4 linked regions of the Saccharomyces cerevisiae S288C genome follow. The gene in region 1 interacts genetically with each later gene. Each region holds a gene or a part of one and is shown in the gene's direction. Other genes may lie near its edges. The genes, in order: AFT2, IME4, PUT1 and MIT1.

Region 1 (3,904 bases):
TCCATCATTTTCTAGTTCTTCTTCTGCAATATTGCCTTTTGGGAAGAAGGATCGAAAGTAGCCATTTGCAGACACGTTTTTACTATATTTACTGTATCTTCGATTGCGCGGCTAAAGTTGCCATATTATTATTATATTGCAGCTCAACCCCGCATTTCCGGAGTTTTCTTTTTTTTTATTTGGGGTAATTTGGAGGTCGGCGGCTATTGGTGGGCCGGAAATGGTGACACACTTGTAATATATAAGGAGGAAATCCTACATGTGTATAAGCGAAATCACAAGGATAATAATGTATTGCTAAACACCCTCAAGAAAGAAAATAATCATAACGAAATCATGGGTATACCTATGCAAATATACCAGGATGGGAAGGGGGTGCAATTTTACCACACGAGATATCAGAACGTATTTGACGAACGGGCGAGCAAGTATGGCAACTACACGGTGAATAATGATTACCCACAGCTTCCAGATACGATAAAGGAACATATCGACCAGCTTACCTTTAGCAATGTCGGAGAGGATGGTGGAGATGTTGGAAACTATTCTGAAGAAGACGATGATGGTGACGAAGAAAAGGAACTTGAAGATGTTTTTCGAAGTAACCGTGGGTTGGAATTTGTACGGATTAATAACTATTTTACTACCCACGATTTACAAAGTTTCAAAAGTTTTAGAAATTTCAATAGCAAGTACTGGATTTTTTATTCTAATCAAGCAGAGGACAAAAAATTACTGCTGTATGACTTTAACGGCCAACATTTGATTTTTATTAAGCAGCAATTTTACGGGCAGTTGAATTTACTGCTATCGGACGCAATAATATGTATGGACTGCAATTTTGGTTATAATTCAAACACCATTCAAATTTTAGTTGGATTTCAGAATGGAAAGTTGTTAAAGCTAAACTGCGACTTGAACGGAAACGTAAACAATCACTTGCTTTTGAAGGATCCTTCAACTTCCTCTCATCAAAGCCACCTATCTATATTAAATGTCTGGGCAGGTTTGTTGCCACATTTCGTTGTTTCTTTTAGTTTGAAAGATGGGCTGCTAATAACTTCTTTAGATCACCAACAAAGCAATGGAAGTTTTCAAAGTTTCCATACCAACATTGATTTGCCTGTAGATCTACGCACGACCACAAATGTCAAGTCCGTTTTAAATTTCCCTCAGTTTACTTTATACAAAGGAAATGATATGATTTTCCACTGCAAGAATCTATTAGGATCGGATGCTTCCACGCTAAACAAGGAAATAAACTTTATGCTTAAAATAGACGAAGACGTTCAAAAGATCGACTATCTTCTTAAAACGAATCACATTTTACTCGAAACCAACATGAGATATCTGTCCATTCCAACAAGAGACCCCATAGAGAATTCAAATTCTTCTCCACCCGTCTCAGACAGCGAGGTTTATCCAATATTTTACAAGACACAAGAACTTCATGTCCATGCTTCAGGAACAGGACGTCAGATAGCAAACAATGGGAAGTATATTTTTATAACCGAGCAACATCTCTACGGAACAGCGTTATCGGTATACAAGTACTCTATATCTTTCAAACGGTGGCTGTTCGTGGGCTACTCAGACATTAGGGCCAAATACGGTATAAGGAGTGTCAAAGATCTCTTTGTTGGTAACTGTCCCTCTGTAAATAGCCCAGTGCTGACAATTCTTACTGATGACAATAACATTCAAACAATTCTTCTTAAATAAAGGTTAAGGAAATGTAAATAAAAAAAATAACAGTGACATTAATTTGTATATATCTCAACTTCTTCACTTTAACCTGTCTGAGCTGTTTGGTTTTGAACTGGAAGCACGTTTCTCATTTTATTGAACGATACCAGAGCCATTCATTATTCGATTGACGGTAAGCGGTATTGTGCGAAAAGCAAAGGGAAAAAATAGAAAGAACAAAAAAAAGAAAGAAAAAAGCACCGTAAAAAAAAAAATCGTTTCGTGGGCCGAGATCGGTAAAGTGGCTTTCTTTTAGTCAGAATTGATTTTCTTTTGATTAAGGCAAAAACTGTGCAAATTAAACTGATGGACCTATACATAATAGTGAACACGACTCATTCAAAAAATTTGTTGTAGTGACCAGAAACTCTGGCGCAAATTAATCAAGAGAAAGCGACCCCCAAGAAATGAAAGCAAAGTCGATGAAGAGCATAATATCTGTGCCAATATCAGTGTCTAAAACAGGGAAAATGAAGTTAACAGCATCTCCCGATAATCTAGCATCTATGATGTCTAAAGACCAAAATAAACTTATTCATTTAGACCCAGTTCCGTCTTTTGAGGACAGGCACGAGATTAAACCGTGGCTACAGAAAATATTCTATCCTCAAGGAATAGATATAGTCATCGAAAGATCAGATAGTAGCAAAGTTACTTTTAAGTGTAGGTCAGTACGATCGAAAGTAGGGTTGAACCCTAAATCCAAAGGTTCCTCTTCAAGATCCCATGCATGTCCATTTAGAATTAGAGCAGCCTACTCTGTGCGGTTACAGAAGTGGAACGTGGTTGTTATGAATAACATACATTCACATGAGCTGAGATTTGATTTGATTACTAAAACGGATGACTATAAAAAGTTTAAGGAAAATCTTCGTCAGAAGAACGACGAAAAAGCCATCAAAACATTTGATGAATTAGAATATAAAGCAAGTCTAAACTTACCACTCGTCACACCAATTATTTCTTGTGACTGTGGGTTAACCAAGGAAATTGAAGCTTTCAATAACATTTTTCTCCCACTATCAAACCCCCCTTTGACGTCTAAAAAAAATTTGCTCAAAACAAATAAAAACTCCGTTTCTAAAATAAAATCCAGACAGATGGATAATTCGAAACCTAGGCCAAGGTTGAAAACGAAGTTGGATGCGGATCTACATGATACCGGATTTTTAGACAATTTCAAAACGCGGAATTCCTGTGTAAAGATAGAGAAAGAAGATTCTTTAACGAACTTAAACGAAATTGATTTTACGAACATGTTTTGCAACGACAATTTCATCCAAAATTACAACCAAGGCCTGATGGAACTTTTGACAGAACCTACACCAGGTCCTTCGTCCTCTTCTTGTATACTTCCTTCAACACCAACGAGGCCCTTGTCACAAAGCAAAATGGATATAGCCCTGTCAGAATCAACAACATCTTCACCAAATTTTATGGAAACAGACGCTCCTTATGGAGATGAGATCATTAAAGTTTCCAAAGATACCAAAAGCAACGCACCAACTGCTGATACAGATATTGCTACGAACTTAGGCAAAGAGAGAAACGAAAATTTTGGCATGTTAAACTACAACTACGAAGCGTTGCTTCATTTCAACGATGAGCATTTTAATGAATTAAATTCTATTGACCCAGCCTTAATATCAAAATATTAATTATTTAGTTTTCAACTCATTAAAACGGTATCACGTTTAAATATGTGACAAGATCTGATGGACATGAATAATGGTGATATCAGCACCATCGAGGGATTTTGGACCTTAGACTTTTTAAAGCTACGGAGGACTTAAAGCATGTCGATACAAATAAGATATATCATGGCTTCATGCGCTCAAAAGTTTTATTCTTCAAGTTTGTTGATTATAATATGGTTCACGTGCGCTTCATCTTTTCATAGGTAATGCACCGCAACATTCAATTATCTAAAAAACTTTCAGGCGTGCCGGTCCCCTAATTTTTGCACTGAGATCATGAGATCAGTAAGTAAAAGCTCATATAGGAAATAATCATATAGAAAAAAGCAGAGGAATGATATTCGAACATTTTCTATACATCACCCCTCCTATTTTTAGATGAATCTCTAAGATCTAAATGCCCTCAACTTAAATATGATATTGAATTAAAATGAATTGTAGTATAGAAGATATTTAGGGCA
Region 2 (8,431 bases), on another chromosome or scaffold:
GCAAAGGCTCTTGGTGCCCTGATTGAACATCAGCCTCGTGTTGACCCTCTAGTCATTGAACTGGTGACAGGTGCCAAGCAAGCCACAGATGAAGGTGTCAAGACTGCGATGCTTAAAGCTTTACTGGAAGTTATTATGAAGGCTGGTTCCAAATTAAACGAAAATTCTAAGACAAACATTGTCAATTTAGTTGAGGAAGAAATGTTGGGTAGCAATGACAAATTGGCAGTTGCTTACGCTAAATTAATCGGATCGTTATCAGAGATTTTGTCGAACGACGAAGCCCACAAGATATTGCAAGACAAGGTTTTGAATGCAGATCTAGATGGAGAAACCGGTAAGTTTGCTATTCTGACTTTGAATTCCTTTTTGAAAGATGCACCAACACATATATTCAATACGGGCTTGATAGACGAATTTGTAAGTTACATTTTGAATGCAATCCGTTCCCCTGATGTTTACTTCGGAGAAAATGGTACCATTGCTGCTGGTAAATTACTTTTATTAGAAGGAGAAAAGAGGTCTCCATTTGTTAAAAAGGATGCTGCAGAACCATTCAAAATTGGCGATGAAAACATCAATCTGTTAATTAATGAGTTGAGCAAAGCTGTCTTACAACCAGCCAGTAATTCTACGGATGTAAGAAGGTTGGCCTTGGTGGTTATAAGAACACTAGCCAGATTCAAATTTGACGAGTGCATTAAGCAATACTTCGATGTAGTAGGACCATCTGTATTTTCTTGCTTGCGTGATCCTGTTATCCCAATTAAGCTCGCAGCAGAAAAAGCATATTTAGCTTTGTTCAAATTGGTTGAAGAAGATGACATGCATACTTTCAACGAGTGGTTTGCTAAAATTTCAGATCGCGGTAACAGCATCGAAACTGTCACAGGTACTACAATTCAATTACGGTCTGTTGGGGACTATACCAAGAGGGTTGGTAAAAGGTTAGCAAATGTCGAAAGAGAAAGGATTGCTGCCGGAGGAGACGCGGAAACAATGTTTAGTGACAGATTTGAAGATGAAAGAGAAATATGGGCTGTCGGAGGTGTTGAATTAACCACTGATATTTGAAGAAAATTCAATGTGGTAACCTCGTTACTTTTTGTATTTGATATATTATTCTCGTTATATAATACATACCACATAATGATATAAAAGACAAAGATATTTTGAAGTCTTCCGCTGTGCATAAGGGTTATTTATATATCTATTGCTCCCAGCATTGTAGCTAATAAGGGCTTGATAATTATTCGTACCCGGATTCATAATTGTCAACTAACTGCCAAACCCAGCGCTCTAATAGTGGCGAGACTTGCCACCACATCATATCGTTACGATCTGTATTGGCGATTCCTAAACACCAAATAACTGTCGACTTTAAATAGCGTCTCAGAAATAACTTATAAGAGAGGTTTATTATTAGAACTATCAATAAAATTAGAGCAATAATTTTAAACGGTTTGATACAAGTTATCTCTTTATTAGACATAATTGTCCAGATGTATTACATGAACTGAGTGACTTGCTCTAATGTTGTAGACACTGATGTCCGGTTTAATTAAGAAAGATTTTGGAAGTTTCACGATATCGATAATGCTGCGGGAGAAGCTTTCAAATTATAAGAAAAGGCTTTTTTTTGTTGTTTTCAGAGTAGTTTGGTGACTTGTCCGTTTCAGAAGTGTCTCGAATACGGAGTGCACCTTCCAAAAATGTTTCTGACGGCATCGAAGAGCCGAACTCTTATACAATACATGTCATTTTTAACAATGATGCAAATAACTTTTAAGGCCTTAACACTCTACATAATATGCTAAAAACATTAAAAAAAAAAAAAGGAAAATAAAAAAAAAAAAAAAAAAAAAAACGGGAGATTAACCGAATAGCAAACTCTTAAACTATGAAAAGGCAATCAATCCACTGTTTTCTTTTTCCATTTCTTCTAGCCTATTTGAACTGTCTGCTTCTGTTTCTTCATTCATTTCTTGAATGATTTTATCCTCTTCTTCTGTCAGGGCACTTATATCTTGTGTCGGTATGCATTCAGCATCCATTCTGACACTTGGTGCTCCTTGCAAGTATCTGATATTTTCTAGACATCGTATTCTAATGTCTTCCAGTAGTTTTTTACTGTTTTTGTTTTCGTATAAGTCATCTAACATAGGATAAAGTGAATAATCCGGCCCGAATGAGTCCCGGAATGGGATATCTTCGGGGATGTCTTCTGGTAGCAAGACATCATTTAAAATTCCTGTCTCGTAGGTCCAAAGCCGTGATACATTTCTAGGTGTATAACCTCCACCGCCCACTACTAGCATTGGTAGACCAAATGATTTGACAAATTTTACGCATTCTCCATGTGCCTTTATATTTAAATTGAAGCATCCTAAGCGATCATGACCTAAGGAATCCGCACCGCATTGTTGGACAATAAGTGTTGGTTTGAAAGTCATTATTAGAGGATCTACAATTGACTTGAAAAGGTTTATATATGAGTCGTCATCTATGCCATCTTCTAGGGGTACATTTAATGCGAAATGTTTTCCTTTGTCGCAACCAATTTCTGTCAGATCACCAGTTCCTGGGAAAAATTCGCCATTATATTTATGAAAAGACAACGTGAAGACCCTATCTGTGGTGTAAAATGCCTCCTGGACACCATCGCCGTGATGTAAGTCGATATCGATATAAAGGATTCTTGGGTGATATCGTAATAAGTTCAAAATAGAAAGCACAATATCATTTACATAGCAAAACCCAGATGGACTATTCTTTTTTGCATGATGAAGACCACCAGACCAATTTATCGCTATGTCCGATTGATTGTTGATTAGTTTCCTGGTGGCGTCAAGGCTCGCACCAGTGTATAGTGTTGTATAATCATATAAATTTTGAAAAATAGGACAGTCGTCTCCAATGTTAAAATTTTCAAGTGTGCCTCTGGGCAGTTTGTTTGCATTTTCTGGTGAAACCTTCGAGAGAAAATTCACGTAGTCTTCCGAGTGAAATTGTAGTAATTCGTCTCTGGTAGCGCTTCTTGTTTCATAAAGGTCCATAATCTTGTGCAATCCATAAGAGGAAACTAGGTGATCCGTTAGCATTAACCGAAACGGCTTCATTGGATGCTTAACACCATAATGGTAATGTGAAACTTTGGAGTTAAAATGATACGATACCCTGGGAGAATAAGCAGAATTAAACTCAAATAATGGTTCGTTCTCCTTTGTTTTCACATCATAACTAAATGTTCCAGACATGTTGCGTGTTGTTATTCACTTGATACCTGATTTTAACGTACTTGAGTAATCTGGCGTCTTTTCTATAACTGTACATTGGCGACACACCTAAAACTGATTAGAATCGTTTCAAGATGCTTTCAGTTCAACATTTAGTAACATAGTAGGAATATCACGTTTAACGATGCCCCAAAGAACATCGAGAATCCTCTATATAGAGTATAAACAGGGCATTCTACATTGGTATAGAGGTGCCTTAGGTATATAGTGGTACCGGTCACATAAATTGACGGGAATATGCGTCTTTAGGCGGCTTTTGGCGTACAGTATTGTTCTTTCTTTCGTGCTTGTGAAACTTGTTATAAACAAAGAAAGAGAAAGATCTCCCCGGCATTCTGGAAGATCGGTAACCGCTGGAGCTATAGGAAAGGGAGATGGATAACAGTAAAGAAAACGGACCATATAAGTTAGCATTGGGGGTTTTCGAAAAAAATAAGAATTGGCATTCAGACTTGAATTCATAAAAGTTGTAAGCAGGCTATGATTAACGATAAACTAGTACATTTTCTGATCCAGAATTATGATGACATCCTAAGAGCACCGCTTTCTGGACAGCTCAAAGATGTGTATTCACTGTACATCAGTGGCGGATACGATGATGAGATGCAGAAGTTGAGAAACGATAAAGACGAGGTCTTACAGTTTGAACAGTTTTGGAATGATCTTCAGGATATTATATTTGCAACGCCGCAGTCCATTCAATTTGACCAGAATCTATTAGTGGCAGATAGGCCAGAAAAAATTGTTTACCTGGACGTTTTTTCCTTGAAAATTCTCTATAACAAGTTCCATGCCTTCTACTATACATTAAAATCGTCCAGTTCTTCATGTGAAGAAAAAGTGTCGAGTTTAACAACAAAACCGGAAGCTGATTCGGAAAAAGACCAACTGCTGGGTAGACTGCTTGGAGTCCTGAACTGGGACGTTAACGTCAGCAACCAGGGGTTACCACGTGAACAACTGAGCAATCGCTTACAAAATTTATTGAGGGAAAAACCATCATCTTTTCAGCTTGCTAAAGAAAGAGCCAAATACACGACCGAGGTCATTGAATACATCCCGATATGTAGTGACTATTCGCATGCATCTCTATTGTCCACCTCGGTGTACATTGTCAATAACAAAATCGTTTCTTTACAATGGTCCAAAATATCCGCATGTCAGGAAAATCACCCAGGATTAATTGAGTGCATTCAATCAAAAATTCACTTTATCCCTAATATCAAACCACAAACTGATATTTCGTTAGGAGATTGTTCCTATTTGGATACCTGTCATAAATTAAATACGTGTCGATACATTCATTACCTGCAATATATTCCGTCATGCTTGCAAGAGCGAGCTGATCGTGAAACTGCGAGTGAAAATAAAAGAATACGGTCAAACGTTTCCATTCCATTTTATACTCTGGGCAATTGCTCCGCACATTGTATCAAAAAGGCTTTACCTGCACAGTGGATCCGTTGCGATGTGCGGAAATTTGATTTTAGGGTTCTTGGAAAGTTTTCGGTAGTTATTGCAGATCCTGCATGGAATATCCATATGAACCTACCATACGGTACTTGCAACGATATTGAACTATTAGGTTTGCCTTTGCACGAACTACAAGATGAAGGTATTATTTTTCTTTGGGTGACGGGTAGAGCTATAGAATTGGGTAAAGAGTCTTTGAATAACTGGGGTTACAACGTGATAAATGAAGTTTCATGGATAAAGACAAACCAACTGGGTAGAACAATTGTTACAGGTCGTACGGGTCATTGGTTAAATCATTCTAAGGAGCATTTATTGGTGGGCTTAAAGGGTAATCCAAAGTGGATCAACAAACATATTGACGTCGATTTGATCGTATCAATGACCAGAGAGACTAGTAGAAAGCCTGATGAACTGTATGGTATAGCAGAACGGTTGGCAGGCACCCATGCCAGAAAACTAGAGATATTCGGAAGGGATCACAATACGCGGCCTGGCTGGTTTACCATCGGAAACCAGTTGACAGGAAATTGCATTTACGAAATGGATGTCGAGAGGAAGTACCAGGAGTTTATGAAGAGCAAAACTGGAACCAGCCACACTGGTACTAAAAAAATCGACAAAAAGCAACCTTCAAAATTACAGCAGCAGCATCAGCAGCAGTATTGGAATAATATGGATATGGGGAGTGGTAAGTATTATGCTGAGGCCAAGCAGAATCCTATGAATCAAAAACATACTCCCTTTGAATCCAAACAGCAACAAAAACAACAATTCCAAACACTAAATAACCTATATTTTGCTCAGTAAAGCGTTAAATAATCCTTTTAAACATTAATAGCATTGCATAAAAAAGATGGTCATAAAAAAGACTGCAGCGGGAAGTAAATGGTTTCCTGGTCTGTATTAGACAAACTTTGGAATAGAGAAGGATATGGTTTATGTCCAATAATTATTATCCGAGTCCGTGTATTTTTTTACATCAACTGGAACAATTTATTACCCGGATGTTTAAAAATTGTTGTCGCCTGGAGAAAGCTAATACTAGTTCTGGCCATATTTTCAACCATTAAACACTACTAATGTAATTACTTGACTTATTTGCTCCCACTCTTGGTCGGTTCTTTCCCATGGCGCATTCTACCATTCTTTTTTTCTACTCCAATCGTTCTTACTGGAAACTGTGGGAATAGCGAAGAACGACTATTATTTGCTAATACAGAGTAAGCTATCCTGCTGAATAGGTAGACGATAGTAGTAACCCAACGCCGCTATCCTTTCGATTATACCGCTATGAATGTAGTGATATGGTGCGGTATTGACACAATATAGTAATTTCGGGTAATTTTTTTTCCCACCAATGAGAGGCGGTACTGGGAGTATCGGTCTAAGAGAATCGAAAAATAACCCCCAGCTGGGATGTGATCACGATGAGTGACGGGATACATTAAATATAACAAACATACACGTTGCCTTGAACGTTTTCACTACACATCGCATGTGTTTTATCTAGATTTAAAATCATATTACTACAGTTCTACAGTTATACAAATAACAAACAATAGAAAAATGTTTAGACAGTGTGCTAAGAGATATGCATCTTCATTACCCCCAAATGCTTTGAAACCTGCATTTGGCCCACCAGATAAAGTGGCAGCTCAAAAATTTAAAGAATCATTAATGGCCACTGAAAAGCATGCGAAGGACACATCTAATATGTGGGTTAAAATCTCAGTTTGGGTCGCCCTACCAGCAATTGCTTTAACAGCTGTGAACACATACTTTGTTGAAAAGGAGCATGCTGAGCATCGTGAACATTTGAAACATGTGCCAGACTCCGAATGGCCAAGGGATTACGAGTTTATGAATATCAGGTCTAAGCCTTTTTTCTGGGGTGACGGTGATAAGACATTATTCTGGAATCCTGTTGTCAACAGGCACATCGAGCACGACGATTAATTAATTGATTAAGTGAGAATAAACTTTTCGAAAAATTTTTATTTATGATAATTTTACTAATTCTTACTTATTTCTTTTATATTCGATAAAAAAAATTCAAAATAAAAAAAGATTAATCCTTTGATAGGAACTAAAGGTACTAGGTATTTTGGGCGGCGAAGCATCATTCCGTTCTTAAACATCTATATATATATAATTATATTGCAAATGTATAAGCATTTAAAAACATAAACATGCACCTATGAAGAAGAATTTAAGACGTTTTATTTTTATGTTCCACGCGTTTTGGTGAAGTGATGAAAGAAGTCCTGATAAAGGGATGTCGGATTAATAATTGATACAGTGTTTATAAGATAGCTAATCAGAAAAAAAACGAAAGAAAATGGTATAAGTCTCAGAATAATGATAATAAAACACGCTTGAAGTAGAATAAAAATATAAGTAGAGAAGATAAAATAAAAAAATAAAGATAGAAAGATTTTCAATGAGGGGCAAATCTAAATCTAAAAAATTTGAATTCAAGTTCAATTTAAATTTCAATTAAAACAGTAGTAGTATGTGGGGAAGATATGGGATAAAAAAAAGTAAGGGAAAATAAGGAATTATTATAATTATAATGCGGAAAAAATGAATAAATTATTAGTTGCTGCAACAGCAATACTATTTTCTCTTGGATGCCATGAGAAATGTAAAATATTCTTCTTGAAATCAATATCGTCACCCCAATCCTTATTTCTTGCAGACCTTTGCGCTAGCGAACCGTATCTTTTGTTCCTGAACGCTGTTTTGTCAGCTTGTAACACGATTTCATTCATTTCGGTTCCCGAGTCCTCCGAATTTGCTCCTTCTCCTCCCGCTATACTGCTTCTAGAGCTATTACTACTTCCCACCATGCCTGTGTTGCGTCCGTTACTCCTACGCTTGTGGCTGTTGCCACTACTACTAGAATCTTTATTTTGTATGCTGTTGTGGATATTTTTATTGCTGTTGCTATTAGGTGCGTTGTGTTCATCAAAAGTTTTGACTATGCCATTATCATTATCACCAGAAGTTACTACATTAGGATAGATCATGAAATTGTTATTGTAAGAACCAGTCATTACACTTGAACTATCACCACTAAAATTAACTTCAAATTTATCGAAAATCGCATCGTTTTCATAGGTATCACTCAATCTTTCCTTCAATTGCTCATGTATGTTTATGGTTTTCAAAGGCTTATTATCCATATTTACGTCCCAAATTTTGACAGTTAAATAATCTCTGGATGCAATATACCTACCATTTGGACTAAATTTTATGTCGGAAATTGACGACGTGATTTCTGTAAAAAAATTATGATTGATTGGATCCAAATATTCTTCAAATGTTTTGGTTTTATTGTCACATAGGGAATTTTGTCTCATATCACACAACTTTATTGTACCTTTGGAAGAAGAGTACATGAATAAATTACATTCTTGCGGATGAAATTCAGCGCTTGTGATCACTTCGGTAAGTTCTTCCATATTGGTTGGCTTGATATCTACGATGTTGAAGCTCTGATCTGGTATGTCCAGATTCCATAAATTGATTCTCAAGTCGTCAGCACTTAAAAATGTTTCCTGATCAGAATTCAACGATATCGAATTAATGTGATAGGTATGTGCATTACTATATATACGCTTTGGGGTGGCAGCAATGATTTTGTCATGCTGTGATAA
Region 3 (8,122 bases), on another chromosome or scaffold:
CCTTACCTGTGGAGGCACAAACAGGAAACGATGGTCCAGGTACAGCGGAAGGAAAAAAAAAGCAAAAGAGTGCTGCTGTTAAGTCGGCGCTATCAAAAACGCTTGGTCTCAATAAGTAATTTATTAATACACAAAGATATATTATTTTAGTATATATATAAACGAAATGCCTTTTTTATTTACATGTGTCGGAAATAGAGTAGATGCGGTAAAGAGGGGGAGGGGGGGGGGGTATGCGGTTTTGTCATTACTCTTTTCCGTTAAACTTAAAAGCTTAAAACATCATTGATAAAGGTTTTTAGTGAGGTTTCACTGGGGTTCACATTGATGAAATCTAATTGTCTGTAGGAGCCATTGTTCAAAAATCCGCGGCTGATATCTGAATATTGAATGATGTATTTATCATCTTGGGCAGTGTTCGTAGGAAATCGTAAATTCAAGACACGATGGGTCAAAACATCAGTCAATTGGTATTGCTGTATTAGGTTATCTGGTAAAGAAATGTTGATTTTTTTCATAAGATTCTGATATTTGTTTAACTTCCAGTGTGACTTGAGAAGAAATTCTTGGAGGCCTTTTTGTTCAGATAACCAAGCATCCGGATTGGTCTGGTCGAAATCAGGTAAAAGATCTTGAATGTAATCTGACGTGATCTTATAGTCTGTCTGGCATTGTGGAGTTCTTAAGATAACAGAATTTTCTTGTAATTTCAAAAGAGGCCTCATTGAGGTGGTAACAATGTTATCGAATTCGTCAATCTCGAACCAAATCTGCAAAAAAGGGGACGAGGAGGAGCCAGAGGTGGGCGGCACAGGAGTGAAGTTCAGCTGTATGAAGGATTGATGCGCATTTGTTATTAGATGTTGATCAAGAGGCACAGGCACAGGTACGGCTGATGATGATGATTCTTTGTACATTGGTAGATTCAGTAATTTTGAAATAAAACTCTTATGTATTAGAGGTTGGAAAATACTAGAAAAAGACGCGGACTGTAAGGAGTGACCTAGCGTTATTGATAAAGATTGGGAAATAGAGTCGGAAGGGGAGAGAGATGGTATATTTTTAGACAAGGAAGATTCGAATTGGCTGACCTGCGCATCTGTCAATTCTGGTGTGGCGTTTTCAGTGGGAGTCATCAGATCTGTGCAATTTTTAGGGACAACTGACTGTAATCTTGCCCAATCTTGTGACTTGTTTAGCCAGTCCAAGTTCTCTAGAGTATTGTTGAACGGATAGAGTTCTGTCTTGAGTGCTGGTGAGGCTATTGTGTGGTGGTGTTGAGTTGTGTTAGGATTAGAAGCGACGGCATTTAATAAAAAGACTTTGGCCATGGATATTTTCTTGGTGCTTAGGGCTGAAATCTTGTACATTTGCAAGTCCGGGAGGTATTCAAAAAAAGTGTGAGTTTCCTTCTGAATAAGGTTGATGACGTCTTTTGATGGCATGAGGGAATACATACGCACATTTTCATGAGTGATGTTTGACCATATTTTGTTTAAGGATATTTCTGCGTATTTGAGCAAGCTAGGCGAACCCTTGACGGTCAATTCGTTATCCTGAATGGAGATGATGAATGTCAGCCCGAGCTTATTGAAGTTGGTGAGTATTTTACCATTTTGAGTGATGAGTAAAAGGAAAATTTCTCTAGGAGAATCGAACTGGAAAGTCAATGATGTGGACTTGATGCCTGTGGGAGTGGTGGGTGTTGAAATTGGTTGGCAATTCCAGATTTTTTCAATTATATATTGGGACAGCTTGCTTTTCTTCCAGTGCGTCAGATGTGAAGAGGAGTCTGGCTGATGTGTGGAGATGAACTCGCGCAGTTGGTAGCGATTGTAGCTTGATGTAAGCGATTGGAGAAGGGCATTGTATTCCAGGGAGGGCAGACTGGCGCTTGTCGGTTTCTTCAATCGGATGGAGTTCAATGCGGAATCTAGTGAATTCTGCTTTTCGAAGACAAGGAGTTTCGAGCCGAAATCGAGGTTGTTATCTCCAGTTTCCTTATGGCTACGTTTCTTAGACGGCCTGTGTCTAGGCTGCTTCTGATCATTTTTCACTAGCCCAGATTGGGTAGGGTTCAAGACGACGAATTTCAGATTTTGCGGCAGTTTCTTCTTCCCATGAAGGGGCGAGCTTGGGCCTGAGCTTGAATAAAGACGGTAAGTAAGACGGGCGAGCTTTTTGTTGAATTTCCACATATGCTTACTCTATATTTTCTCCAGTGCCTTCAAGCTCCGTATATATTATGTACTAGTTTTATTACATTAAAGATACATAACTTTTTTTTTTTTTTTCAGTTCACTGAAATAAGAAAAGGCGGGCGAGGTGAAAAACAAAAAAAAAAGTATAGAGAAACAGAAGTGGAAGAAGAGCTAGGAAAGCACAGCGCATACGACGGTCACCTAGGATGGAGCACCAACAATTGCGGAAGTACGTCGAATTGTACAATAAGGAGGTCGAGGAATTCTACAATGGTGCCGCGTCAGGCCGCCCAGCTGAGTTCCATCCTTCCAAAGTACATGTAAAGAGCATCCATGAAAAGGCGGGTACCGCCAATGCTGGTGTAGAAATCTCTAGCGTTGGTGTAGACTGGGACAGCGAGGAGAAGAATACCTTTTTCTGGTGCCTTTCACGCTATAGTATCCACCGTGTAGACGAGTGGCGCTCATTGTTGCCTCGGAAGAGCGCCATGGAGATTCTAGGTTATTACAGGTTGTTAAGGAGAGCGAGTGCGAGCGCGAGATCGCGTAAGGCGGGTGACGACGGAGCGCCCATTGCGTACGAAATGAGCGCTGAGTGGGTTGCCCTGGAGACAAAACTGAGCGAGACAGTGATGGCCATCACGGAAGGCGCAGCCGAGGTTGCCGATGAGGAAGGACACTGCGAGGGCCTTATCGATTATGAAAGCTGGAAACGCAGGTGGGTGGCCATCTACTCGCACAGCCGTATCGCGGAGATAAGACCCTTGCCCCGCCACGCGCTGCCGCTATCGCGCAGCGCGACGCAGACTTTGGAGCGCTGCGTAAGTCGCTACACACGTACATTGCTGTGGTGCACGGCCCTTGCGGGTATGGCTTCCCGCAGCGTCAGCGCCAGGGCGGCCGAATCTCGAGGACACAAGTCGCTACCGACGGTGGTAACTCGCCGGCAAGTTGAGCGTGCACTATGCACAGAAGCCCGATCACGTGACCTACACGTGCTTCCAAGGCGCATTGTTTTGACACTGCGCAAATGGGAACTAGACTATCCGCGAGAGGGCAAACTGTTCCGCACCAAGGAGATGGCACATCTGTTTCTACAAAGCCAGTTGTCCAGACGGGATGCGCCCCCAGTCCATCAAGACGAAAATCAAGAAAATCAAGAAAATCAAGAAAATCAAGAACAAGATAACACTGCAAGTGAAGGTGAAAGCGAGGCAGAAAGGGATGAAATCGACGAAGCGGACTTGTTCCGATCAGCATTACATGAAAATCAGTTGCTAAAATGGTTATCCAAATGAGACACAATGCGAAAAATCGCGCAGGGACATAATTTTTGTTTTCATTATTCTTTCGCTTATTCCCTCCGTTAGCTCCACCGCTTTTTTGATTGGAATTTCCTTTCGGCAATGGCTTTCCGGTTACCACGCCTCGGGTTTCGCATCCCGAAAAGCATATCTACACAAGAAAAATGAATGATAAACAATTGATGAGTGGCGCTATTTCCCTTATCATCTCATTATTGTACTTAGTATCGTCTATTATCAGGAGAAATCGCATGAACTAAGCCCATTTTCTCACCCTTCTGCCTTCTTATATAAAGCTTGCTGGGAACCGAACACAAACTCCACAAGTCCGTAGCAGCTCTTCTCTTTTGTCTTTTATATATCATAAACATCGCTACATAGTAATAACACTAACGCACGCTAGAAATGATAGCTTCCAAAAGCTCCTTATTAGTTACTAAATCGCGCATACCCTCTCTATGCTTTCCTTTGATAAAGAGGTCCTATGTGTCAAAGACTCCGACACACTCTAACACGGCTGCTAATCTGATGGTTGAAACTCCGGCCGCCAATGCCAACGGCAATAGTGTGATGGCACCTCCTAACTCAATCAATTTTCTACAGACACTTCCCAAGAAGGAACTATTCCAACTGGGATTCATCGGTATTGCGACCTTGAACAGCTTCTTCCTGAACACGATCATTAAGTTGTTCCCTTACATCCCCATCCCAGTAATAAAATTCTTCGTCTCTTCTTTATACTGTGGCGGTGAGAACTTTAAAGAGGTCATCGAATGCGGCAAACGTCTGCAGAAGAGAGGTATATCGAACATGATGCTTTCATTAACTATTGAAAATTCCGAAGGTACAAAGAGTTTGTCCAGTACTCCAGTAGACCAAATTGTCAAGGAAACAATCAGCTCTGTCCACAACATCCTACTGCCCAATATTATTGGCCAGCTGGAATCTAAGCCAATCAATGACATTGCTCCAGGTTATATCGCTCTAAAACCCTCTGCTTTGGTCGATAACCCTCACGAGGTTCTGTACAATTTCAGTAATCCCGCCTACAAGGCTCAAAGGGATCAGCTGATCGAGAACTGCTCTAAGATTACAAAAGAGATTTTTGAACTAAATCAATCTTTGTTAAAGAAGTACCCTGAAAGAAAGGCCCCATTTATGGTTTCCACTATTGACGCTGAGAAGTATGATTTGCAGGAGAATGGTGTTTACGAATTACAGAGAATCTTATTTCAAAAATTCAATCCCACTTCATCTAAACTGATATCATGTGTCGGTACTTGGCAGTTGTACCTAAGGGACTCTGGTGACCATATTTTGCACGAATTGAAGCTGGCCCAAGAAAACGGCTATAAGCTTGGGCTGAAACTGGTTCGTGGTGCTTATATTCATTCTGAAAAAAACCGTAACCAAATTATCTTTGGCGATAAAACGGGCACTGACGAAAATTACGATCGTATCATCACTCAAGTTGTCAATGATTTAATCATCAATGGCGAGGATTCTTATTTTGGTCACTTGGTTGTCGCCTCTCATAATTACCAATCCCAAATGCTCGTTACTAATTTGCTAAAATCTACCCAAGACAACTCTTATGCCAAATCGAACATTGTGTTGGGGCAATTACTAGGTATGGCAGATAATGTTACCTATGACCTAATTACCAACCATGGCGCTAAAAACATAATCAAGTATGTCCCATGGGGCCCACCATTGGAAACTAAAGATTATCTTTTGAGAAGATTGCAAGAAAACGGGGATGCTGTGAGATCTGATAATGGCTGGCCATTAATCAAGGCCATAGCAAAGTCGATTCCAAAAAGAGTAGGCCTATGAGAGGACTATAATATATACTCCAATTTCAAAGACAAACCAAAAAACCAAAAAAAAAAAAAAGTATGCATACATAATTCTGATGTTCTAGTTATACATATTATATATAAGTAATGATAATAACACTAATAGTAAAGTAAACGCACGGATATCAAGAGTTAATATACTTGAACCACTTAAATAACAATCTGTTGGTAAAGCTTTCTTCCTATTGATTATGGGTTCGAATAGTACCAGATGTTTTGCCAATCCTAAATCGGTAGGAAAGTGGCTTGTCGTCGTCAGGCTTATTATCAACTCTTATGCACAAGAAAGGTACTCATCTTCTATAAACTACATAAGACCTGAATCTAATCAAAGGGAGAAAGCGCAGAACATCAGATTTAAAGCGGTTTTGCTTGATACACTCAGCCTTGTCTCTTTGTAAGGATTTTGGGGTACCTATGAATAATACATCTAGTAGTGTTAGTAAACCAACGTATGGGATTTTGGGATACATAGTTTTCCAGTGTTTCTTATCCGTGATAGTTTAATGGTCAGAATGGGCGCTTGTCGCGTGCCAGATCGGGGTTCAATTCCCCGTCGCGGAGAATTTTTTTAAGCTTCTATTAAAGAAGCTTTTTTTCACTTATATCTGATGGATGATGAATAGCTAGTTCAAACGGAAATCTTTGATAAAGCTATATCAAAATTCAAAGCCCAATAAGTCAGTATCATGAAGTTTATAGCATTAATATCAGGTGGGAAGGACTCGTTCTACAATATTTTTCACTGCCTGAAGAACAACCATGAATTGATTGCCCTGGGAAATATATACCCAAAAGAATCAGAAGAGCAAGAATTAGACTCTTTCATGTTCCAAACAGTAGGACATGACTTAATAGACTATTATTCTAAATGTATTGGTGTTCCACTATTTAGACGCTCAATATTACGGAACACTTCTAACAACGTCGAGTTGAATTATACTGCTACTCAGGATGATGAAATTGAAGAACTATTTGAACTTCTAAGAACTGTCAAAGATAAAATTCCAGATTTAGAAGCTGTTAGTGTAGGTGCCATCTTATCGTCTTACCAGAGGACCAGAGTGGAAAATGTTTGTTCCAGATTGGGTCTAGTAGTGCTAAGCTATTTATGGCAAAGGGATCAAGCCGAACTAATGGGTGAAATGTGCCTTATGTCCAAGGATGTTAACAATGTTGAAAACGATACTAATTCAGGAAATAAATTTGACGCCAGGATAATCAAGGTGGCAGCAATTGGATTGAACGAGAAACATTTAGGAATGTCCTTGCCTATGATGCAACCGGTGTTACAGAAACTTAACCAACTTTATCAAGTTCATATCTGTGGAGAGGGTGGGGAGTTTGAGACAATGGTCTTGGATGCCCCTTTTTTCCAACATGGATACTTGGAATTAATTGATATTGTCAAATGTAGCGATGGTGAAGTTCACAATGCAAGGTTAAAGGTAAAATTTCAACCGCGTAATTTGAGCAAAAGTTTTTTACTCAACCAATTAGATCAATTACCTGTACCTTCGATTTTTGGTAATAATTGGCAAGATTTAACCCAAAATTTGCCAAAGCAACAAGCTAAAACAGGAGAACAAAGATTTGAAAATCACATGTCGAATGCTCTACCACAAACGACAATCAATAAAACCAATGATAAGTTGTACATCTCTAACCTACAATCACGTAAAAGTGAGACGGTCGAGAAGCAAAGTGAAGATATTTTTACTGAGCTAGCCGACATTCTGCATTCCAACCAGATTCCACGGAATCATATTTTATCTGCGTCATTATTAATTAGAGATATGTCTAATTTCGGAAAAATCAACAAAATATACAATGAATTTTTAGATTTGTCAAAATACGGACCTTTGCCACCATCAAGAGCATGCGTAGGTTCGAAGTGCTTGCCAGAAGATTGTCACGTACAGTTATCAGTTGTTGTTGATGTAAAAAATACAGGCAAAGAAAAAATCAACAAGAATAAGGGCGGACTACATGTTCAAGGCCGTTCATATTGGGCTCCATGTAATATCGGACCATATTCCCAAAGTACTTGGTTAAACGATGATGCAAACCAAGTCAGTTTTATCAGTGGGCAAATCGGACTAGTACCGCAGTCAATGGAAATATTAGGAACACCTCTCACTGACCAAATAGTTTTGGCATTACAACATTTTGATACTTTGTGTGAAACAATAGGAGCTCAAGAAAAGTTACTCATGACATGCTATATTTCAGACGAATCGGTTCTCGACTCTGTCATCAAAACATGGGCGTTTTATTGTTCAAATATGAATCATAGATCAGATCTATGGATGGACAAATCTGATGATGTTGAAAAATGCCTAGTTCTTGTAAAGATTTCTGAATTACCTAGAGGCGCTGTTGCAGAATTTGGTGGTGTTACTTGTAAGAGATTAATAGTGGACGATAATGATTCCGACAAGAAAGAAAGGGAAGAGAATGATGATGTTTCAACCGTATTCCAGAAATTGAATTTGAATATTGAAGGTTTTCATAACACTACAGTTAGTGCGTTTGGATATAATAGAAACTTTATTACGGGATTTGTAGATAGTAGAGAGGAGTTAGAACTTATCTTGGAAAAAACCCCAAAATCAGCCCAGATTACCCTCTATTATAATCCCAAAGAAATCATCACTTTCCACCATCACATTGGATACTATCCGGTGGAGAAACTTTTTGATTACCGTGGTAAAGAACACCGCTTTGGGTTGCATATTCGTTCCTAACTCCAAATGTA
Region 4 (5,125 bases), on another chromosome or scaffold:
TAATAATCTACTTTAAAAACAAAATATAATCGGTTTAGCAAGCCATTTTTCAATGATCTTTAATTTTTTAATACGATACTGATAATAACTTAATAAACTGAACTAAAATAAAATATTTTGTTTTGATTGCGAAGTAGATGAGTGAGCTGTGTGGCTGGTGAGTTGTATAATTCGCTAGTGAAACTGATGGGCAAAAAAAATTTGAATTTAGGGGGGAGAGTAACCTGTGTTGTGAGTTTTTGTTTTGTTTTGTTTTGTATATCTATTATATAAGAAGATAAGTACTGTCAAGAAGTAGAAGATTTTAAAAGGTAAGACAGCGAGCCGAAACTTCTTTAAAGAAGACTAAAATTTCGGAATTGGAAAAAAAGGTTGGAGTATTTATCTTCCGTATTTAAAGTCGGAAATTTTTCATCTTTTTTTTTCAAGATGTATGCTCATGCACTTTATTCCCCGAAGATCTTCGAAAGCAGTTCAATTTAATTGGCTGGAGATTGGCGTTTGGAGAGGCGGTGTGTATGTCAAGAAAGGCATTGTCAACGCCCGGACAAATAATTCTAATTTTTACAAGATGCCGGTGGTGTTCGGCATTGTAAAAGGTATGGGTGCTTTGTGCGTCCACGCATGGGGTATGGGGTATGGGGGCATCATCGATTGTTCTCCGGTAACGGAACACGGCAATATTTCTGTTCTACAGCTTGAATACATGCCGTGGATCTGTTTATCAAAGATAATGTCATGTAGCGTGGCAAGTCGACACAGCAACGTGTGGATAATGGATGAGACGATAGCGCCACTGGTTGGTTGTTTGTAAGCTTCGATTGGTAACAGTGGGCTAAAATAGATTGTAGTTATACCCCCACGTTTGCTGGGTCTCACGATCCATATCAGACTGCCCGCGTGGGGTTAATTCTGAGGTGTTGAGCCAGCCAACTCAGACGTTTTGATGACGAAGAACAGAAGATGCAAGTCTTCTACGTATGCAATGATCTGTCCAACTCACCGAAACAAGAAAAAATTTTGCGTTTTTTTTTTCCTACAAATCCCCCATTTATTCGGAAGGTGTGGGTGGAGGCGTAGTTTTTTGTTTATTTTTTCCCAATTTACGTAGTCCCGCAGGTCGGTTTTCCTCTCAGTCTCCGTACATTTCTTATTTTTTACGTTTAAAGTTCGTTAACGAGGCAAAAAATGGCCTGTCTTCCTCCTTTTCCGCCGGCAACTGTAACTGTAAACTGTAAAATTGTAAGTGTAATTGTAATTGTAACTGTAATTTTAACGCTGAATTCTTGCGCGCTCTCGTTGGTTACTATCTTTTCTTCTTAATCGAAGTGTGTACAGTTATGTGCCGTTTGTTTCAATTTGGCTGAATCTTCCTCATCTTGCCCCTTCTTTGGTGTTTTTTTTGCGCAACTCAAAACCTCGTTACTGCATCAAATTTAAATTTAAGCTAGAGAGAAGGTAGTGAGAAAGCTATTTTGTTTATTTGTATTTTTTCGTTTCCCGATCGTTTCCCTTCCATTTCTGTTTTCGAACCCTTTTATTTTCTATCTGTGAATTAGACAGCCTGTTCACCGGTAGCCTTTTGATTGTTTGTTTGTCTTTTTTAAGATTATCAATATTATTTAATATCTCGCCTCAACTATCGACAATATAGCCTATTTTCTTCTCTTTTTTGGTCCGCCTCTGTTGTACGCCATTTCTATACTGTGTTACTAGGATAAAATAAATACCTGTACTGCATCATCTTTCCTATCACCATCTTTTTCCACAAAACAACATTTCAACTAGACACAAGGACAACGTAAATTTCTAAATGGATATCGAGCCTACTTTCAAAGGGTACATTGAAGATGAAGATGACGCTTTGCTTATTCTTCAAGCAACTTTGGATGGCAAGTTAAAGCATATACCAAGAAGGCCTTATGAAATAGAAAGACCTTATTTGATCGTATCAGGTAGTATATTCGTTTTTATTGAAGAGATATCGGGCATCAAGAGATGGACTGATGGCGTTTCTTGGTCTCCATCAAGAATATCAGGCAAGTTTCTAATATACAAGGAACTAGACAAGGAAAACGCCGGGTCTAATGCTAATGCTACTTCGAGTGGCAGTACTGATTCCGCCGTCATTACGGATGGAACTTCTGGCGCGAGAAATAACCCTTCTTCGTCGAAAATCAAGCTACCTCCTTTGAAGAATCACCAGTTTGATTTGCCACCTACTATGGGCCATTCAAGTTTTGAGTCAGAGCAAGACACCTCCATTTCTCCATCAAACCGTTCGAACTTACCTTTAAAGTATACTGGCCTGGTGAAGAAGACAATATCTGTGAAGCTGAAGAGACCTCCATTCAACTCGATTGAAAATTTACATATTGTCTCTTATTATTCTGTAAAAGATATAAAACAAAATTGTCTAGTGACTCCTAAAGCTTCTCCTTTTTTGAAAGATGTTAGACCTTCACAGGAACTAATTGTCGCGATGGGAAATACAACCTTAGGCAACGTGAAAAACAATTCCACTACCACCGGTAATGGTCCTAATAATATAAACAATAAAAGCAACTCTTCCACTCCCCTGAATACTGTTATTTCCACGAATAACAATAGTGCTAATATAAATGCTGCTGGCAGTAATCAATTTACTAGTGCAAACAAAAATTATTATTATAAAAATGATGAAAGCTCTGGATACCCAATCACTCAATTTGCTCCCGCATTACCATCAACAACTTTGATGTATACGGCGAATCCACCTTATATCACTCAATCTCCTGATAACACTAACGCTACTGGTATGAATACACATGTTAATAATAACAATAATAATAGTAATAACAGTAGTAATAGTAATAATAGTAACAATAATAATAATAATAATAATAATAATAATAATAACAATAATAATAATATTAATAATATTAATAATGTCAATACTAATGCAGGGAACGGTAACAATCCAAATAGATTCCATAACGCCTCTTTTGCTTATAACACCACCGGTGACTTTATTAATCCGCAACAACAAGGACAAATTTCTTATCCATTTTATTATACAACAATTCCGATAAACAATCCTAACTATTATACCACACAACCTCCAAACCCTGTAACAAACGCTTCAACGAACGAGAATCAAGGCTATTCCACCTCCTCAACTCAACACCCTTATTATGGGCATCCTACTGAAAGTCAATCAGCATCAGCAGCCGCAGGCGCTACTGGCACTCCTGGTACAGCCGAGAATGTCCTTCCCGTATCCAGTATGCAGCCACTACTCCATCAAGCCAATAATAATAGTGCAAGCTCTGCTACCTCTACAGCTCCTTATCCGGTGTATTCTATGAATGTGAATGTTCCTTATTACAATTCTTCTGCTTCTGCATACAAGAGGGCACAAGAAAATACTACTTCAAATACGAATGCAGAACCTTCTGGTGCTACAAGCACTAACTCAGGCACCATGCTATCAAATCCTGCATACGCTAATTCTCAGTACACTCCATCGCAAGTGTATTACCAGGGATTCCCCCAATATGCCATGGCAAGTGCTCAAAATCCGTCTATGTATCAACACCAGCACCAACATCCTTTGCCCACTGTATATCCAATAGCGACGCCTCAACAAAATATAATGAGCTCTGGTCACACTTTGAGCACTATTGGATCTGATCCTCAACATCATCACTATCAACAAGAGCCCAACGACCACAAAAACTTCGCTATGGGTCACGCGAACAATAATATCTTAAACATCACCAATAATGATACGATGAACAACCTCAATACAAACACTTCAACTACTACACAATAAGTAAATATATTTTAAAAAAGTACTCCGATTTTCTTTTCTTCTCCTTGCCTTTTTGAGTATCGGGTTTACTCATGAAAATTATATCATTTTTCATTTTACAGTTTTATATACTTCGCTTCTTTACGTAATCATGCCTTTAATTTCATCTTCATTTGCCTATGGAAAAAAGCTATTCCTTTTGACATCATAAAATATCTTTATTAAAGAATCCCCTCTGTCAACATTTTCTACGAAAGATAGCTTAGTGTATTTTTTGAAGATGCTGTCGAAAATGATTCTCGACATACTCGCGCTGGTGGAAAAATGAAGTGGAAAAGATAAGCAAATTGATATATAAGCAAATAAACATATAATTTGGACGTACATCGAAATTAGTTGTTCTCAACTTATTTTCATTGTTTGATGAAAAGCGGAATATACATCACGGCTATATAATGAATAATGGAGACAATAAAACGACATTAGAAAACTCAAAAAATGCGTCACTAGCTAATGGAAATTATGCGATTCCCACAAAACTAAATAGGCTGAAAAAGAATGCTGACCCTAGAGTTGCTGCAATTTCAGGTGCTTTATCTGGTGCACTATCCGCAATGCTGGTCTGTCCTTTTGACGTTGCGAAAACAAGATTACAAGCACAAGGTCTCCAAAACATGACACACCAAAGTCAACATTATAAGGGGTTTTTTGGTACATTTGCTACTATTTTCAAGGATGAAGGTGCTGCTGGGCTTTATAAAGGTCTACAGCCGACGGTTTTAGGTTATATTCCTACTTTGATGATTTACTTTTCCGTCTATGATTTCTGTAGAAAATATTCGGTCGATATTTTCCCACATAGTCCGTTTCTCTCAAACGCTTCTTCTGCAATTACTGCAGGTGCCATCTCTACAGTTGCGACAAATCCGATTTGGGTAGTAAAAACAAGACTTATGCTGCAAACAGGTATCGGTAAATATTCCACCCATTATAAGGGTACCATAGACACATTTAGAAAGATCATTCAACAAGAGGGTGCTAAGGCTCTTTATGCCGGCTTAGTACCAGCCCTGCTGGGGATGCTGAACGTTGCTATACAGTTTCCTTTATATGAAAATTTAAAAATAAGGTTCGGATATTCAGAATCGACTGACGTATCGACAGATGTGACGAGCTCAAACTTTCAAAAATTAATATTGGCCTCTATGCTATCTAAAATGGTAGCATCTACCGTGACTTATCCTCACGAAATACTTCGAACTCGAATGCAACTGAAATCCGATCTTCCAAATACTGTTCAACGCCATCTCCTTCCATTGATTAAAATTACGT

The links.
Region 2: of AFT2 (region 1) and IME4, changing one enhances a phenotype caused by changing the other (phenotypic enhancement), as found in Saccharomyces cerevisiae (one study listed by BioGRID).
Region 3: mutations in AFT2 (region 1) and PUT1 together harm fitness more than expected from each alone (negative genetic interaction), as found in Saccharomyces cerevisiae (one large-scale study listed by BioGRID).
Region 4: mutations in AFT2 (region 1) and MIT1 impair growth when combined (synthetic growth defect), as found in Saccharomyces cerevisiae (one large-scale study listed by BioGRID).

What each region holds. Positions count from the first base shown.
Region 1 is NC_001148.4:167,588-171,491, reverse strand, and holds AFT2 (Aft2p), read left to right. Parts: upstream 1-2,153; coding exon 2,154-3,404; downstream 3,405-3,904. Other genes in the region: CSM4 (Csm4p), read right to left, coding at 1-8; YIG1 (Yig1p), read left to right, coding at 337-1,722. UniProt on the Saccharomyces cerevisiae protein: Transcription factor required for iron homeostasis and resistance to oxidative stress. With AFT1, activates the gene expression in response to low-iron conditions, also called iron regulon.
Region 2 is NC_001139.9:138,470-146,900, forward strand, and holds IME4 (mRNA (N6-adenosine)-methyltransferase), read left to right. Parts: upstream 1-3,776; coding exon 3,777-5,579; downstream 5,580-8,431. Other genes in the region: GCN1 (Gcn1p), read left to right, coding at 1-1,074; YGL194C-A (uncharacterized protein), read right to left, coding at 1,250-1,492; histone deacetylase HOS2, read right to left, coding at 1,899-3,257; YGL193C (uncharacterized protein), read right to left, coding at 3,447-3,758; COX13 (cytochrome c oxidase subunit VIa), read left to right, coding at 6,339-6,728; protein phosphatase 2A regulatory subunit CDC55, read right to left, coding at 7,340-8,431.
Region 3 is NC_001144.5:421,276-429,397, forward strand, and holds PUT1 (proline dehydrogenase), read left to right. Parts: upstream 1-3,910; coding exon 3,911-5,341; downstream 5,342-8,122. Other genes in the region: NHA1 (Nha1p), read left to right, coding at 1-119; SLS1 (Sls1p), read right to left, coding at 267-2,198; RRN5 (Rrn5p), read left to right, coding at 2,408-3,499; DPH6 (diphthine--ammonia ligase), read left to right, coding at 6,054-8,111.
Region 4 is NC_001137.3:140,079-145,203, forward strand, and holds MIT1 (Mit1p), read left to right. Parts: upstream 1-1,813; coding exon 1,814-3,814; downstream 3,815-5,125. Other genes in the region: YEL008W (uncharacterized protein), read left to right, coding at 434-814; YEA6 (NAD+ transporter), read left to right, coding at 4,249-5,125. UniProt on the Saccharomyces cerevisiae protein: Transcriptional regulator of pseudohyphal growth.